2 linked regions of the Astyanax mexicanus genome follow. The protein of the gene in region 2 purifies or fractionates together with the protein of the main gene of each other region. This does not show direct contact. Links are inferred from orthologs where the notes say so. Each region holds a gene or a part of one and is shown on either strand. Other genes may lie near its edges. The genes, in order: lrrfip2 and flii.

Region 1 (9,304 bases), on a different chromosome or scaffold from region 2:
CATAAAGAGTAGTAAATGCAGTAGAAAATGATGTAAGGGTGGAACAAAATATCGTTATCGTGATCTTGTTCATGATTTTCATTGAGATATATTATTGATACGTGGTGCCCAATATCGATATGTTTACTGAAACACAGGTACTCTAATCTCTTTTGTTATAAGAGGAATAGTTACACTCCAAAACAAGGGGTACCAGCACCTGGCAGTGAGCTACCATATGGAAGATGGCATTTCAATTCCCGTTCTACACAGTACAGAACATTAGAGGCAGGTCTACCCAGTAGTGCAGAAATTCACTTTACCTGTATTTTGGTCCACCTAACCAAAACAACATTTGTTTACTGTTCCATCTACTGTACTGTATGATACAGTATGACATGGTGGTGTATTTTAATAAGCAAACTTTTTATACAACCAGGCAAATTACCTCGGCCAAACTGAAAGTCTGATATTTTATTGGGCCTACGAGGATACTGATATCAGGCTGGTATCAGCACCAAATGCTTTAGTGGAGTCTCCATTGTTCAAGGAAGACTTTTTTTTAAGCAAAGGTCTAGATTATATTTTCCTTTCAATGGAAAATCTCTATTCAAATGCTGTCTATTGCAATACCAGGCATAATCCCTGATTGGGAAACTGCCCCATAGTTTATATAACATCTTTACAACTTTTTTGTTTTGGTGCTGCCCTAGTCCTGCAGGGCTCTTATCTACAGTAAAGCTTGCTGTGGTGCAGGAGGTCTATCAGGGCACAGAACGTCCCGCTGCTACAGCTGTTCTCTGGAAGCACTTGAGTGAAGTTGGTCCATGGGGCCGGTGCCCGCTACTGGCATCTGTCTTTCTGGATGAGAGAGCTGCTATATGTAAGAGAATTAATCAACTGTGTGGCATTCGCTACGGCCAGGCGCCAGGTTCAGCATTACGGGACAAAAAACAAATATGACAACAGCTACACGGCATCCTTCAAAACGTTGGTATTATTTGGCCTGTGTTACAGCACTTTAAATGTTTACGGACAATTAAATGGTTAACCAAGTGGTAACGGACATCACAACCACTGGTTTCCATTACCACCACTGCGAAATATTGTGCATTATTCTACAGAATTACAGATTCAGTTAAATAAATACCTAAAACATAGATTATTCAGCAATACTATAAACACAGACCCTGTCATACAATATATAATAATTGAACCTCAATAAATTTTGTTAACTTCAATAATGCCTATTAAATGTGAAAGAGTCACTATGTCAACTTTGTTTAAAAAAACAAAAAAAACACACAAACATTTAAATAATTAAGATATCGAATAACTATAACAGGGCATAAATGCTGTATTATGCTTTTTTATTATTGCTATATCGATACCATAAAAGGTTGTTAAAATAAGAGTAATATCGCTTTCTGCAATTATTAACTTAACCCTGAGGTAGACAGTGAAAACTGAGAAAGAGCAATCTAACGCCTCATAGGGAAATATTCTATTTTATCTAAAACACAACCAAAAACATATGAAATAAAACAGCAAATACTTTAATAACTAAATATTAAGTTTCTTGACTTGGGATGCATTAACGTTTTTAGCCTTTTCCATACCCTTAGCATTTAACAGCTAACTAGAAAAAAAAGCTAACTAGACACCTTAAGGGAAAACTTTGCTAGATTTGATTAATCACAGAGCCCATGTAATAATAAAAACATTAGGCTAGATAAATAAGTATGGTTTTATGTGTAATTTAGGTATTTAAACACAGAACCAGCTAACACTACCTTAGCTAAAAAAAAAAAATAAAGTTTTATAACTGAATATATGAAGTAAAATAAAATAATGGGGTTCAGCTTAAATTATATTTATTCATGTATAAGTGTGTACAGTTTCTAGGCTTGGGCTGTATTTCTTCATTAGTGTAAAATTATTTTTTATTGCAGCCCACACTTTTCACAACTTAGCCATGTAACTATACAGTTTACAGTTTGTTTTGTTACAATAATAATAATATTATAAATTATGCACTCTATAGTCTTGTTTTTGAAAGTTATTCCTAACTAAATGCTTCTGTAAGAGAATATATATAGATTACATGATTATAAATTTTAAGTTTAGCCACAAATGCAAACATTTCAGCTTCTGAAATATCTGTAAAAGTGTAAAATATCTGTACACTTGATATATAAAACGAGTTAAAGCTAGTTTAGCGTTAACTGCTGTCTTAATGTGAGGTGGGGCTTTTTTACCGACTATAGACAGCTAAAAACAATAAAAACCTCTAAAAGATACTTTAAAAGAAAACTTTAACGGTTCTGGTTTAATCAGAGGGTTCAGTTTAATCGTAAAACTCTAAATAAATATGTTGTAATGTGTAATTTAGGTATTTAATCACTTTTTTAAACACACACTCATAGCTTAGCTTAGCTTAGCTAAATTTTTGACATGTCAGAAGCGAGCGGTTAGCGTTAGCTATCAGAGCGCGAGCGAGAGGCGCGCTAAATATAGCCCGCTAGCATTTCTGGAGCTTCACTGGGACCAGTGTTCTGTCGAATTCTGCTACCTTCCGATACGTGCTTTCTAAAAGTACTGCGCATGCGCTGACCAATACTTTCTAATAATTTCTTGTGTTTCTTTAAATAATAAATCTGTTTTGGGGGCTTTTTTGTGCTTTAAACAGCCTGGACTCACACTGTCATTGCACAAAAGTGTAAAATGAAATGATATTAACTAATAACTAATTAATATTAATTAATACAATAACAATTATTATTTAAATATATGTATATTTTTATAACTTATTATATCCAATTATACCAACCCACATCTACTGGGACTTCTATTGGTAACATAATCTAATATAGTCCTTTTTTGTATTTGTACAGTAAAATGCACCCTATTGTAGCACGGTTTGACAGGGTAGCACAACTAGACACAACACCGCGCTCGGAAAAGCGGGCAGCTCTCCCTGAAACCCTGGAGGAGAAACTCCAGCACACGGCCCGACTCAGCCTGAACCGCAAGCCCAAACCGCCCGGCCCGAACTGAAACAACACGCCCGCTCCCCGCACTGTCAGCCGGGGGAGTTTTTAAGCGCTATTAGCCGAATCTCCGGCTGGTACACCGGGAGCTATCCTAGTTAGCTAGCTTAGCTTAGCACAGCAGCTGGAATATAAATAGAGCTAGCCGGCTAAGGCTAGGCTAAGGAAGAAAATGAAGCAGCGCTGGGTTAGATTAGGTTTTCCATGCCGCCCTAAATCCATTCAGGAACAGGACTCAGTCTTTTAGCTGCTTCACTGATTAAAACTAGAGGATTTACCTTTTCTCCGATTCCCGCCGGATCGCGTGGTTCGGTCCACAGCGCTCCTAAAAAGCGCAAAGTCACCCCAGATCCCACAAAGAGCGCCGCCGCCGCGGCCACAGCGGGTCAACCCAGCGCCGCTCCAAACACACCGCTATACCGAGCTGCTGCTGCTGCTAACCGGAGCTACTGCTGGCCTGTTCGCTCCAGCAGCAGTGTGTGTGGTATGGGAGAGGGTGTGTGTGTGTGTGTGTTTGACGGACAGCAGAAACTGACACTGCTGGTCGCGTCAGACTCCCAAAAGAAACTGCTGTTTCTTTCTCTTTCCCTCTCTCTTTCTTTCTATCTATCTCTATTTCTCCTCTCCTTATTTTTTCTATTTATCTCTTTCTTCAAAGTTCTCTTTCTTTCTCTCCATTCCTCTCTTTCTTTTTTCTTTCTTTCTGTCTATTTCACTCTCACCTCTCTTTCTGTCTCTTTCTTTTTCTCTCTTTCTTTCAATCTGTTTCTCTATCTCTTTATATCTCTTTCTTCCTATCGGTCTGTATGGCTGACGTCAGTCATTTTCTCAATATGCACAATATGCACATTTTTTCTTTCTCTTTCTTTTTTCTCCCTCCCAAAAGAAACAAACTCCTGTCTATTTATGTATTTCTCTCTTCTCTCTTTTTCTCTCTCTCTCCTCTCTCTCTTTCTTCCCTTTCTCCCTTTCTCTTTATTTCTCTCCCTCTTCTTTGTCTCTCTCCCAAAAGAAACTCCCCTCTCTTTCTCTAGAGTAAGACTTAGACTGCAGTGCTGTACCAATCTCCCTGAGAATGGTTAGGGCTAGGATAAAACCTCATTTTAACAATATAAAAAAAGCATGAATGGGTGGATCTGTATCCCTCTCTTTATTTATCTTTATTCTCTCAGCTCCTTCCTCTCCCAGTATGCAGGATCTCGCTGGTTTTACTGGGACTCAGTAGGACTTTGTGGAGGTGCAGGAGCAGCTGAACATGTCTGTGCAGGAGATCCTCCTCCTTCCTCACCCAGTCAGTCTCTCTGTCTCAGATGCCAGGGAAAGATACCCCGTTTGTCCGGAAGTGTGTGTGTGTGTGTGTGTGTGTGTGTGTGTGTGTGTGTTCATTCTGCTTTCTGTGGGAACTAATGTCCCCGGAGTGATAAGAGAACGGATGCTGAGTTGGACACCACAACAAAAAAGGGCATCAACACATTAATAAACCTAAACATAAAATATAAACTACTACTGCTAATAATAAATAAATAATAATAATAATAATAATAATAATATATTATAGATTTTTTTCTCACATTCTTCCCAATTTACCTATGCAGATTACCCCACCCACTCAGCTGCACTCCCACTAATAATAGCAATGCCTATTATTAGCACACGCCTCCTCCGATACGTTACCTTGTAACAGACAGAATGGGAGTGCTGTGGGGAGAGAGCGCCATCTACTGTACACAGATAGAACATGACCAACTGTGCTCTCTCTGACTCCGGCAGCTGATGGCGAGCAGCATGATGTATTTTTTTTTTTTTGACTACTGGGTGTCATAAAAATAATACATTATATCATAAATCATAAAAATAAATCATGAAAAAATAAATAATAAATTATATTAAGAATGCTTCAATTACATGGAACAGTTTGCCAAATGACACTAAACAATGGCATCAGTTTTAAATGGCAGCTAAAGATAGACATTTTTACAAACTTGTATTGTTATACATTTTTAAAACAGTATAGTACAGTTCCAATCTATAGTCCAGGTTTCTCACAAACTAAGGTGACGGTGGCAAGGTGACGTATATATGGATGTTGTTTATGTGTTTTAACACATGTAGAACATCAGGGAGGTGTGTGAAGACATGCAGAAGTGAAAGAGAAATCAACAGAGTGTAAACTCTGTTAAACCACACAACATTTGCCCCACTGTATTTGTCTCTGGATGCTGAACTCGTGAAGTCACCATGCTTCAGCACCAATAATGAATCCTTCATTTGGAGTGCCCTAGTGACCTCATTACTGCCCCCTCCCCAGGCTGGGGTCTTCCACTGAAAGGTGCTGACTGGCCATCCTTCTTTATAGATAGTTAGTCTTCCGGTTGGGAGCTGACAGCCCGTAATTTTGTTCCTGGGTTGATATTCATGCTTTAGCCGTGCTGAGTGTGCCAGTTGCTCAACTGGTGACATCTCTGTAAGTGCTGAGGAAACTAAAGGGACTTGAAATTTTCCTCTGCTGACCCCAAAGTTAAAAAAAAAACTCTCAAAACACACAATATAAGTTAAAGGAAGAATCAGATTTATATTACAAATGGCAGTCAAATATAATATTTAATTTTAACTGGAAGGAAGATCTGACCAGCAGCTTTGTAAGAAAGTAGTTGTTTCCTCTCTTATTTTTTCTAAATCAGATGATTTAGAAAAAAAACATAAAAAAAAGCTAAATATTTTATTCTGAAAAACGTTAGTATTTATTTATTGAGACAAAAGTAGGATGTTTTGTGTAGTAGAGAACAGTTTGTGTTTCTATGTTCTACAATGTCCCACAAATCAGAAGGAACCCAAATGTGCCCTATATTCAGATTAGTGCATTCCAAAAGTCACGGGACAACATTATGTCAAGAAATTGTCACAAAGTGTTTATAAACTATGACAGTGCACTTGTACTGTAATCATGCATACTGTAGGTAATCTGTAGAGGGCCGGCATGTCTAACTATTAGATCACAGTTGTCAGGGAACACTAGCAAATCAGTCTTTAATAGAAAAGTTCTGTCAGAACAGGAGGGGCTTAACCCTGTAATAGTACTCTCAGCTGACTCTGTAACTGATCCTTCTGGACTGTGTGGGTTTCACTCATATTCCTATTTAGGATCAATGCAGTATGTGGATCCAGATTGAGATAAACAAAGCTAAAGTCATTTTCATGTTACCATGGTTCTATAGACAGTATGCAACAGTATGAAAAATGCAAACTGCAGGCAGGCCAGTCCAATACCCATACCCTGTTCTTTCACAGCCATGCTCCTGTAATGTGTGCAGCATGTGGTTTATTAATGACTTGTTGAAAAATGCATGAACGTCCCTTAAAAAACATTTACTACTCACTTACTTGCACACTTACATAGCACCTTTTTGCCTCTATAGGCACCGAAAGGATGCTTACAATTACATGGTACATACAATCATTTACACTCATTAACACCAGTGGGAAGCGGTAGCCAATCACGCACAGCATACTCTCAACCAGAAACAACAGTCCACCTGGAGGACTGCACTCTGCACTGAGGGGCTGAACCAGGACATATCTGGGTATAAAGTCATACATACATACATACATTCATAATTATGACTCCATACATATACACACCATAACAATTTGGAGTATACCAATCTTATTTTAATCAACATGGAAACTCCATCCAGATGAACCCAGGACCCCAGTGCTGGAAGGCAAACCTCCTGAAGGCCGCATATGTTTCTGTATGATCTTGTGCATGGCATACATAACAGACCCTTCTTCTTGTTCTTGTGAGTTCTTATACTATATTTATCATTTACAGGACTGTATATACTTTCTGAAGAAAGAAGAGGCGCTTCGGTTGTCGAAATGTTTGCTTTGGAGCATTAACACCTCAAACCCTTATAGGTGTGTCCTCCATTTTTTAACGAGTTCATTCTTGTAAGGTAACTTGGCAAGAATTTTCTTCAGTTCCTTCAATCCATTCTTTACATTCTTGGAATTGAAAAACACCCAGATCCCTCCAGAACTAAGGAAGCACCACATAGACCTCCAGTCACAATACTGCTGATTACTGATCAATAATAATTACTGGTTTAGGAAAATCGGTGGTGCTACATCAACAAACTTTGGTTGTGGGGGGCACCATATTCTCTGTAGCTCTGTTACAGTCCCAGTAATTCATAAATTATTAAAAACACACAACTGTAACACACTAATGACTGGAGTTGGAGAAGAGCGTGTGTTGATTGTATCAGTGTATATACTGTATATAACTGAGTGTGCCACTTGCTTGTAAATGTGACTGAGAAAATGTTTTTAAAAACTAATTTCCCACACTTCCAATGATGATATAGTGATATAGTCTCCATTTATTTTTTTATTCTCAGAGGTACAAAAAAATGAGTATGTCTCATATAAATAAGGTCAGCTGTTTATGCTACAGACAGGCTGTCAAGCACCGTTTTAATACACGTTTTAAATGGTACTCTGGTCTGAGTATAGTAGTGAATAATAGTGATAATAGTAAATGGCGTATTGGTGCCATCTAAAGTCCAGAGCAGGTAATGCAGCTGGCAAAAACACACCTGAGATTTTTATAAATCGAATTAGTTAATTATTGACATTCTTGAGTCGAGTTATTTAACACGCAGTATTTTTATTTCACCCCTGTAATCCCATGTCATTTTTCCAGACAGTGATTTGAAACATTTTACTAATTATTAAACTCTTTTTACGCAATATACGAATATTTAAGCTTAACAAAAATGTCCCCAAAAGGATACTAGTTGGAAAATGAAATGGGATTTTAAATAGGTGGAAAAAGATCCTGATAAGAGGGTCACCTAATTTTCTTTCCCCTCAAATTATCATGTAAAAAAGAACTCATAATTAAGCCGTGGAAAAGAGATCCTAATATGTGGGAACTAGATTACACTATTGCATTATTAATATCTGGCTACGACTTAATTATCTCATTCACACACCTTATTTATCTTAATTATCTCGTTTCCAAGCCGTAAGTCGTAAGGCAACACATTTGTTTTTACATGATTTATTAAATTTTTCCACTTATATCCTTTCAGGTATATATAAATCATTTGAACTCATAAACACTACTATGATTGTTCTTAATTGTTATTTATTTATATAATTTTAATCACTTTGTAATACAATCTTTTTATCTTTATTTTTGGGTATGAACTCTTATTTTGAAATCGGCGGACAGTTCCGGTAGAGGGTTGACATTGGTGGAAGCTGTGGAGAGTCACAGCGTGTTATGGGGACTGTGCTGTTCGCTCTCTGACTGGGAGAAATCTGCTGTTTAACCGGTAATTACTCTGTTTATTTATATGATAATCAGGATTACTGTGTTTCACTGAGGTTTAAAGCTTTTCTCTGCGTCCAGCGAGTCAAAATCACCTCAAAACTAAAGGTTAGCTTATTTAGCTAACCAGCGTTAGCTGCGTCTGTTATTATTACTCAGGTTCTAACTTAGTTTAATTAACATTATCTGTGAAAACTACTAAAACTAGCTTACATGATAAATAGATAAAACAAAGAATGGTTTATTTAAATGCAAAAGTTAGTGCTGTATTTGTACCAGGTATAAGTAAATGCATTTTGTTTAGTGACAGATTGGTAGCTTCTTAATTTAACTAACGTTCAAAAGGAAGAATAGTTCTTTTAGTCTGTAAGACGTATTTTACTATTCTTATTAATAACATATATTAACATGATGTTCAGATTAACCAACGTCAGTTTATATAATTAAATAATTAATCGCACCTGCTCTCTTTCTAAAGACCCTAAAAAATCCTAGTTATTTATTTGCCCTCTTATTGAAATATAATGGGCTGACTAAAAAAGACCATGTGCTTTTTCAAAAAATAAAAGAATAATATAAAATATACTGTTTATAACCATATTAAACCAAATTTCATATTCATATGCTGTCCAATAAGGATCTCAATTATCTCAAGTATCTCAATTTTGTAGATTTTTAGTTTACTACATAGTTTAAACACACAAACTGTCAGAAATGTCTTAAAGAACGAACCAAAAGAAATTATCCAAAATGACCGGAAGGAAACTTTTTACACTTTTACATTATATATATATATATATATATATATATATATATATATATATATATGTGTGTGTGTGTGTGTGTAGCACACATAAAAAACAGTTCAGTCAAATTTTTATGAGATGATTACAATAAGTGTATTAGTTTAAGTGTAGTCAAATCCATTAAACCATCC
Region 2 (9,522 bases):
AGCCAAAATCTCCTTGTGGACATGATACAAGTACAAACACGTCCATACACTCTTTTTAATGAGTCAGTTCCACTATTTTATGGTGCACCCATTACTGTCACATAAACAAGTCTCAATAAGTACATATTTCTTATAGTATTTTATCCCAGAAATATTAAAAATCCTAATAATTGTGAAAGTTGACGCTATGATAATTTTAGGAGCATTTTATGCCAATGATATATGTATAATATAATAGTTTGAAAGCTGCAAGTTTTTCAGATCAAAATGGCAAACAATTATGTTTCAACTATTTTTAAAATGCTTAATTTTTGTCTATGTTTATAGGTCTCATGAACGAAATATCTTAACTATCTTAACTAAGTTCGGGTGACATTCATTATTAGAAAAACAATGGTAATATTGTCTCATCAATTTTTTTCTGTTATATTGTACAGTAAATCTCTGCACATGTACAACTTGTGTAATTTCAATTAAGGGGTAATAACAACAAAACAAACCAATCTAGAGCCACCATGCATAAGTACAACACCAAGCCCAATGCCATCCAGTAGGTAGAGGGGTCATGAAGCCCTGCAGCTTTAGGCTCTGCAGCAGTAGAACAGACTTCTCTAGATTGCTGGAGCTCAATAAGACTGAGATAAGTCTGAGTGATATTTTTTGATCTATAATTCATCATCTATAATTAGGACATTATCTCACTAATGCTCTCATGGCTGAATGACATCACATCTGCACAGCAATGTAACTGAAAATCTAATATTTAAGGCCTTTGCGGAGGATAAGCGGCTGTTACTGTGGCAAAGGGAAAACAACCCCTCTATTATAATTTTTAATTTTAAAAGTAACTCAAGAGAAGCTTGAAAGAGTAAAAAAAAACAAAAAAAAAACATACCAATACTGAGAGGTCATCCAACTGAAAGATATCATCTGGAACTCCAGAGTTCTTAAGGTTATTCGCTCTGGCTACAACTGCCTAAACAAAGGATTAACATGTTTGATTACTACAAACACATAACCAGAAACTCATACGTAAGAATAAAGCATATTCTCTATTACTGCACTGTGACTTACCCTCAGGTTTGGAAGGCTTGACAGCTCTCCATGTAGCGTCGTAAGACTGTTGTGACTCACTGACAAATGCTCCTGTTTTCAAACATTAAAAAACAGAAAAAGAGTCCATGGAAATTGATGGTCAAAGTGGCATATTATGTGTCCTTAGGTAGTGGAGTATTTGTGATATTTTAATGAAACTCTGCCTACAGAAACACACATAATTTTTTAATCTATTTAACATACAGACATTGAAAATTGCTTGGGTTGTAAAATAAATTGCAAACATACTAATATTGCCTCCCAGACACCTGTAAATTATATCCAATATCACAGAAGTCAGGATATTATTTGCTGGGCACAGCACACACTATACAAAGCAAGTGTGTGATATACGTACTGAGATTGTGACACAGAGATTTCTAATGGTCATTATAATAGTTTGCCTTCTCTACTTTAGGTAAGCAAAGTGAAGGCTGTCAAGAACATATATAAACATATGGTTGAGGTCATGAATTTTGTTTAATTCTTTGTTGAAGTTTGTTTTTGCAGGGTGGAATGTAAGATAAAACATGTATTCAATCCACACAGGAAATCAAGAAAATCAAGAAATCCTTACCAGTTTCTGGAGCGAGGACAGCTCTTCTGGAAGATAACAAAGCCCAGTTCTGTTGAGTTTGAGCCATCGGAGGCTGGTCATGGATTTTACATGTTCTGGAAAGTAGCCCCCCTAGAGAAATATGACAAAAAATGATGACAACCATGACAGCTCCTGCTTATTAGTCATCACCTCTAGACCAAAGCACACTTGACACATTTATTGCTGGCACACACAGTACTTCTGGACAAACGTCCAAACGTTTGGACACATCAATTCTCATTCAATGTTTCCTTTATTTAATTTATTTAATTTATTTTCTATATTGTAGATTAATATTACAGATATAAAAACAATTTAGGGACACCTGGAATATGTGAACAAGTAAAATAAGTATTTGTCTTCAACAATCCCCTGATCAACTGAGATGGTGATATGGGATGAACTGAAGTTTCACAGCGTGAAGAAAAAGCAGCAACTATTGGTCAGCATCTCCAGAAACTCCTTTAAGATGCTGAGAAAACAATTCCAGGTGATTCTACCTCCTAAAGACACTGATATTAAAATACCAAGAGTGTGCAGATCTGTCCTCAAAGCTTAGAAGAATCTAAGAAGTATCTAAAGTATAAAACATATTCTGGTTTAACCCTTTTTGTGCTCTTGTACAGCTTTGATGTATTCAATATTTAATGTACAATGCAATAAAAATAATAAAAGAAAAGAACACACATTGATTAAGAAAAATGGTGTTTCCTAAACGTTTGACTGGGATTGTACAAAAATCACAACATACGTATCTGCTAAAATATGTTATAAGAAGTCTAAAGGTTGGCACTTGGTATGTCTTCATGACAAAGCTTTTGTTTAACAGCTTTATTAAGCACAGTTATATATATATATATATATATATATATATATATATATATATATATATATATATATATATATATATATATAAACAATATACAATACATATGAACATGAATAAAATTATCATTGGGAGAAATGGAAGAACAGTAGTTAGCTAGCTAGCTAGCTAGTTTAGCTTGTCTCTTAACAACAGCTTGACAGCTGCGTGTGGTTAACGTTAATTGTAGTCAACAAGGACGCAGGGGAGCGTTGTCAGCTGTTTCATGGGCTTGGAAAATAATAAAACATTTGAATTTAGGATAAAATAGGTTACTAAATATATACTTAATGTGTTCAGTGTAATGAAGACATGAAGCAACTTGTTAGTTATGTTAAGCTACGCTGTTTGCCAGCTAGCTAGCTTAGCTAACGTAACCTAGCTACAGGCAGCTAAGCTAAGCCTAGAGTATATAACTAGACATTTAACTACGTAGGTAGCAAGTTACCGCATAAGCATAGGACAGCTCCCTATATAAATATATGAACAGCTAAACGTCATTATTTGACAAGTTATCATTTTAGCTATCCAGCTTTACAATCTATGTTAGCTAAGCTAACTAGCTAACGCTACTTCTCTATACTCGCACTGACAGGCAGCTGGTGTCGGCTAAAGCTAACGCTAGCTAGCTAACGCCCAGTGACTTGTATACTGTTGGCTAAGGAGTGTTTTAACAGATATCATCTAAAAAAATCCACTTTTAAACAAAATATTAAAATAAATAATTAAATAAATAAGTCTGTATGATAATAATTAAGCTCCACACTTACTTTAAAATCGTTTCCACTCAAGTCTACTCCCCTGATAAAGGGGAGAACTCCGGTGGCAGCCATTTCTAATTCAGGATGTAGCAGTCAGCCTATTTCTGGCTGAGTGACTGAGTGTGTGTGTGTGTGTGTGTGTGAAGAAGGGAGGGAGTGTGTGTGTGTGTGTGTGTGTGTGTGACCACAGCAGCAGCAGCAGCAGCCGGTGAGTGAGCAGCCCCACCCTCCCTAAGTTAACTTGGTTCAACCCACACTGACTTCACTCAGTCTTATCTAGGAATGTGAGATTAAAATCACATTCCTACTTGCAAAATATTTTATTCACAAACAATAAATTTCAGACGCAAAACAGAGCTTTCTTGTCTGTTTAACTGAGTTTAATTCACTTCTCCAATCTTTAAGTAAAAAAAACGTAAGTACTTCTGATATTATGATTTTCTTTATAATGATGATCTATCATATATTATACCGCAGATAGTTCTGACCCTGCAATGTGATTGGCTGAGAGATGTTCTATGAGTGCCGTTATCAGCTGGCAATGCACTGTAACCAAAGCTCTTTATGTAATATTACTCCACAACATACAGGTAACCTAGCAACAATGCAGCGCTTACAAGCCAAACAGCAAAGCTACAAACAGAGCAGCAATGGAACTTTTGTAAATTTATAAACTTTTGCAGTGTTTATAACCAAACAGATCATATTTTCTCTTCCTTTTTAAAGTGGCAGTCTGTATTATTATGTTTCTATACTGAAAGCAGAAGCATTTCTGAGTGGAGAAGGAACACAATATTGTGTTTAATGGCAACATGACCAGTGTGCTGGAATGTCCGTCCCTGTCAGCTTGCTTTTTGCGGGAGTTCTTCTGGCCACATCACCCGTCTTTACCTACTTACTGCACATGTACAGCCTCTGAAAGAGGATCCGGCTCTGTTTTACTGAACGCAAGCAGCTGGTGGAGCAATGGAGACTCCAGAAGAGGAAACTCAGAGCTCAGGACCTCATTCACCCATAGTAAAAGTAAAGTGTGTAGGTGAAGGAAAGTTTCTGACTGAGCGCTCTCTCTCTGACTGAACATAACCTGGAATCGGATTCATCCGCTCTGGAAGGAGACCGCATAACACCCTTCCAGTTGAAAATGATTTTTCTGCATACTCAGTGCAATTATCCACTTTTTACCAGAGTGGGCCCTAAATCCTGAAATGTACGAACATCAGCTTTAATTCAAAACTTTTAATAAACAGCGATAATAAAACTGTGAAGCATGCTAGGCTTGTCCCCAAAGGTTTATTATTGCTGATGACAACTATTATGCAATTTGACACATCTCTATTTTCATTTTACAGAACTCTTGGAGACAAAACAATTGGTCACTTCCTTATACATTTTGTATTTGAAAAGTTTTCCCAGTTTCACTCCAAAAAGCAATTATTATGTAAGATAAAAAAAAATTAAAATAAAGAATAATAGTTTTATTAATATATATCAAGATAAAACAAACACATAAACAACTAAAAAGTAGAAGCAAGATGAAACCCTGAGTGTAAGTGCATAAGGCAATTTTCCTGTAGCAGATTGGACGAGTGCATACTTCGTTTTTCTATTTATCGTGTATAATGATGAGTGTGTAATTGTAGATTTTCTTGTATATATTCTTGCACTTTTTGTATTACTGTACTGTATTGTGTACCTGCTTACTTTCCTTCACAATCAAACAATTGATCGATAAATAAATGAATAAAAGAATAAATAAAGACCTTTTTTTGGAAAATTAACAATAAAAAAAATATATAAAAAAAATAAAATTACATTACCCAGTGAAATGGTATTGTTTTTAAATTTGGAAGTAAACTCTTTTTCTCTCCCCTCTCTGTTATTAAAATAAAAGTCAATAGAATGAACACAGTGATTCTGGGGCTGTTTTACACCTTTAATATATCAATATGTTTGAAATTATCCCAGTTTGGTTCAGGTTGGTAAATCTGGTTAAAAACACAAAACGAACATGCGGTTAACCATTTTTTTTCTATTTACATTTACTGTAATAAAATAATTCCGTTATACAATTGATGACAGCAATTACTTTGTAAATTTTATATTTTATTCTGTAAAAGTTTTAAAACAAAGATAAATTTACAAACATTAGTGACTCAGTGGACAGACTGCTTCTGTCTCACCGGCCCTGTGGACAGGTGGTCCGTGTGTGGCCTGGCTGATGACAAATTCCACAAGTCCTCGGCCTTTTGGCAGCAGGAGCTTTACTTGAAGAAACTCCAGTCTTCTTACTGCCATTCCACGTACTGTTGTCTCCTCCACCTGTTGTGCTTCTTACAGCAGCTAAGAAAAATTAAAAATACATTAAATATGGAACAGTATGTAAATGCAGTTTAATCACTGTGTTACTGTGTGTTCCTCACTGGAAGTTTTCAGTACTATAAATATGGACCAAAGTCTGAATCAAGATTGTCCTGGTTATCAAATTGTAACATTTTGGTTAGGTTAGTTTTGCTTTCACACTGCAGTTTAATAAGCACACTTATGGACATTCTTCCGTCATCCCCTATGCAGGCTGGGTACACTTATACTTGACACTCTTCAGTATGTAGGAGTAAAACTGCAGTTGACTTTAAGGTGTTGTGCCAAATTGTACCTCCCTCCCTGGAATGAAAAAAACAGTTTACCCTCCGATTCCTTTTTTAATTCTGCTTATAAATTAGGTTTAATATATATTTACAGTAGATACAGATATCGCCAGGGTAATTTCAGAATGAGATTTCAGACTTTTTCTTCTTCTATTGTTTAATGCATGTCAATAGCCAACAACTTCTTGTAATTGGTCCAAAAAAATAAAACTATCCAAAATATTGTTTTCTTACTGACAAATCCAGACAAATTTTGGTCAATTGTGGTTTGTGGCTTCAAAGAACCAAAATTAGATCTGACCAAAAGAGAGGCCTCAGTCCGATTCAATTTAACCATGTTTTAATTGATCTGCAGCGCAAAATAACTTTTCTAGGTTATTTAGATGTTTGGACCAATTACACAAATTTGAGGAAGGCTATTGAGCAATAGATCAGGAAAAATCAGTTTAGTGTGCAACAGGCTGCACAGGTGACTCCTTCATCTAACTTATATTATCCCTTAATTATAAACAGAAAAAAGGAAACTGAGGGTTACTTTTTTACGGTTATTCTGATGAGTGAAGTGTATGTGCTTGAAGGGGACCGATTTTGGCTGGGAGGCAGAATTATAATAGACAGCATTACTTACTGAATGGACAGCATTATAACTGTTAAGTATAAATAAATGCAGCACAGGTAAGTGGGGATAACAGGATGTAGCAAAGTTTTTATCGTGCTTATTAGTGCTGCAGTGTGAAACCAAAACTAACTGGACTAAACTAATATAAAATAATAAACATATATCAAAGACTTACAGGTGTGAGAACACCCTTAAGTTGCATCAGAATAGGTTTTTAGAATTGATTTTAGTGAACATTAACAATATTATGCTGTACACATGAATATCTCCTTGTCATTTAATCCTAGTACCTGGAGGCACGTTTTCATCCGCCCATTGAAAGAAGCCACACTGCTGATCCCGTGGTTTCCCGCAGGTATGGAACGCTCTTCCCTTGTTTGGCCCATCTTTCATGACGGTTCTTTGGACAGCAGGTTCGTTACAGTTACACATCGCCTCTCCTCCTGTATCTCCTGCTGCTCCTCTGCTGCCATGCCTCTCCTGAGGCCCATTTCCAAATCCAACAGAAGGTCTTGAAGGTTGAAAACTTTGACCAGCTGGTCCTCTGCTCCCTGCTGACCCGTGCTGCTCAGCCGACTCATCCGCCCACAGGAAGAACTTACAGTTCCCCGTATTGCACTTGTAGAACTGACGGCCTTGGTTGGGACCCTCTTTCCGAACTGTGAGGAGAAGCGCGTCCACTCCACAGTTACACACCACAGCATTGCTCTGGTCAGAAGACGGCAGCTGCATGGGCCTTGACTGTGCGGGATTGGTCAGTGGGGGTCTGCTACTGTCTGCGCTGGGTCTGGGAGGTGGAGGTCTGTTCTCAGACCTGGACTGAAGTGCTGTATTATTGTTTCTAGGTGCATTTGGTTGACGTGAAGCTGTACGTTGAATAACTTGAATGCCAGAATCTCCTCCACTGCCGCCTCCACGGAGATACTTCAGATTCAAAACCTCTCTTAGGGTCTCATCACAGCCACCGATGCAGCCGACAAACTCGAGATCCATCCCTGGAGGAAGACTTCCCCTCTTGAACTTGAACTTCAGCCTGGAAAATATTTTAAAAAGCCACTTTGGGTGATTTCACCTTATTTTTATTTGGGAGAATCATAAAAAAGTAAGTATTTTACACTATGAGTGTGCAATTTCATATTGTACCAATATTATTGTTTTTTCTTTATATTTGCGATAACAATGATATTTTGTCTTAAAAGCAGTCTCTATTTTCTTTGCATGCACAAAATATACTGTTACTAATACACTTTAGTAATGTATTAATTTTTTACTAACATTATTATTATTAATATTATGTTACATAATTTATTTTTACACTATTAATATTTTATACAAAATAATTCTTGCTAAGTTGCTACTGTTTACTTTGGTTTCTACTGAGTGTTTCAAATGTTTGTGTGTAAATGACACTTTACATTAAGAAACACTATCATTAAATTTTGTTGCTGCAGTATACTGTAGAAATGTAGTGTTTTTTCACATCGCAAAAGTGTTCAAATATCATGATATTATTTTAGACACTAGTCATGTTTCTTACATGTGGACAGGATGTGGGCGACACGTTGGACAGACGCTGTCATCTCTGCTGACCTCCAGCACTGTATCTGGAAACCACACTGCTGCCTTACAGGCTGGGTAGCCCAGACACGACAGAAACTTCCTGCAGAGAGTCGGTGAAAGAGTGTGATGACAAAGGAAATAGCATACAGAGCAAAAAAGAGAACAACCACCTCAGCAGAATTTCAACTTCACATCTTCCTACAAAGTGCTAACACTCACTATTAACATGCTTCAGAGATTACACCATACGCCAAGCAGTGGCTGCAATTCAGTGTTCTTTAAAATGAGCTTAAGTAGCATGCTTCAAACTATGCAGGGATAACTTTCACTTTGTTGACAAATTCTAAGTAGGGCTGTGTGATCTGACCAAAAATCCACATTGTGATAACGGTATAGGTCATGACAAAGCCCTTTTTTATCAACTTTTTTTTTTTTAAATCAGCTAACCACACAAAACACTTATTACATACTGAATTACGCTCAGCAAATAAAAGTATGTTTTCATATTTTATTATATTTCTCATTTTATACTTTTCACTTTTACTTTTCAACTTAAATGAAATTGCGCACCGAACTTCCACAGACCAGTATGGAGCTTTGGCGCATCACCCAGGCAACAAAAAGGCTGTTGTATTTTGCAACAATATAGACAATAGAGCGCAACACTAAACAAAAGACATTTTTCTGTCTTCAATACCAATTCTTTTGTCCTGTCGCACAGCCCTAGTTCTGAGGAATTCATAAATAATAAAATATTCTCAAAAATGTAATAACTAAACCTATAACCCAGGGGCAAATTACTTTATGTGGATGTCAGATTCAGCGTTTTATAATGATTGATACTGATATGCGTTACCTTTAATATATACATACCCTGTGCTGTCCTTCCTCTTTCTTAAAACCATGTCCCGGTTGCACTGCGGACACTTCCGTACTGGAAGAGGCATCTCTAATTCTTGTTCCTCCTGCTCGGTATACTCCTGGGCCTGGCCCAAATAATTGGACAGTGCTTCATCCAATCTGAGGACAGTATAACCATGACTTGTTAGTATGATCCCAGTAGCACAGTGTGGTTACAGTTTAGTTAAGCAATGGTTACAATAATAAAGCAAAGACTACATTAAACAGACACAAGTATAAAACAAGTAACAAATTAGATATTAGATATCAGGAAAGATAAAATAAAACATAAATAAAACATAAAAAAACTACTACTACTGCTGTTACTTCTATTAATGATACTACAGGTACTACTACTAATTAGAATATAATAATAATATAATAGATAAAACTACTTAAAAACCTAAAAAGTGATTGGAACATCACATACCGGCTGAGTAGAGAACGTTAATCCTTAATGCAATATCACAATTAATTAA

Evidence for each region.
Region 1: the proteins of flii (region 2) and lrrfip2 purify together in Homo sapiens (affinity purification with mass spectrometry; 3 studies listed by BioGRID and IntAct, with this or other methods). This does not show direct contact. The link is inferred for Astyanax mexicanus from reciprocal best matches to the Homo sapiens genes FLII and LRRFIP2.

Annotation. Positions count from the first base shown.
Region 1 is NC_064414.1:2,210,581-2,219,884, reverse strand, and holds the start of lrrfip2 (leucine-rich repeat flightless-interacting protein 2), read right to left. Parts: upstream 3,557-9,304; 5' UTR 3,308-3,556; intron 1-3,307. UniProt on the Homo sapiens protein: May function as activator of the canonical Wnt signaling pathway, in association with DVL3, upstream of CTNNB1/beta-catenin.
Region 2 is NC_064410.1:54,179,214-54,188,735, forward strand, and holds the start of flii (protein flightless-1 homolog), read right to left. Parts: upstream 3,459-9,522; 5' UTR 3,392-3,458; coding exon 3,329-3,391; intron 1,784-3,328; coding exon 1,673-1,783; intron 1,147-1,672; coding exon 1,075-1,146; intron 977-1,074; coding exon 896-976; intron 1-895. Other genes in the region: top3a (DNA topoisomerase 3-alpha), read right to left, coding at 5,496-5,659, 6,874-7,616, 8,121-8,243, 9,017-9,163. UniProt on the Homo sapiens protein: Is a regulator of actin polymerization, required for proper myofibril organization and regulation of the length of sarcomeric thin filaments. It also plays a role in the assembly of cardiomyocyte cell adhesion complexes.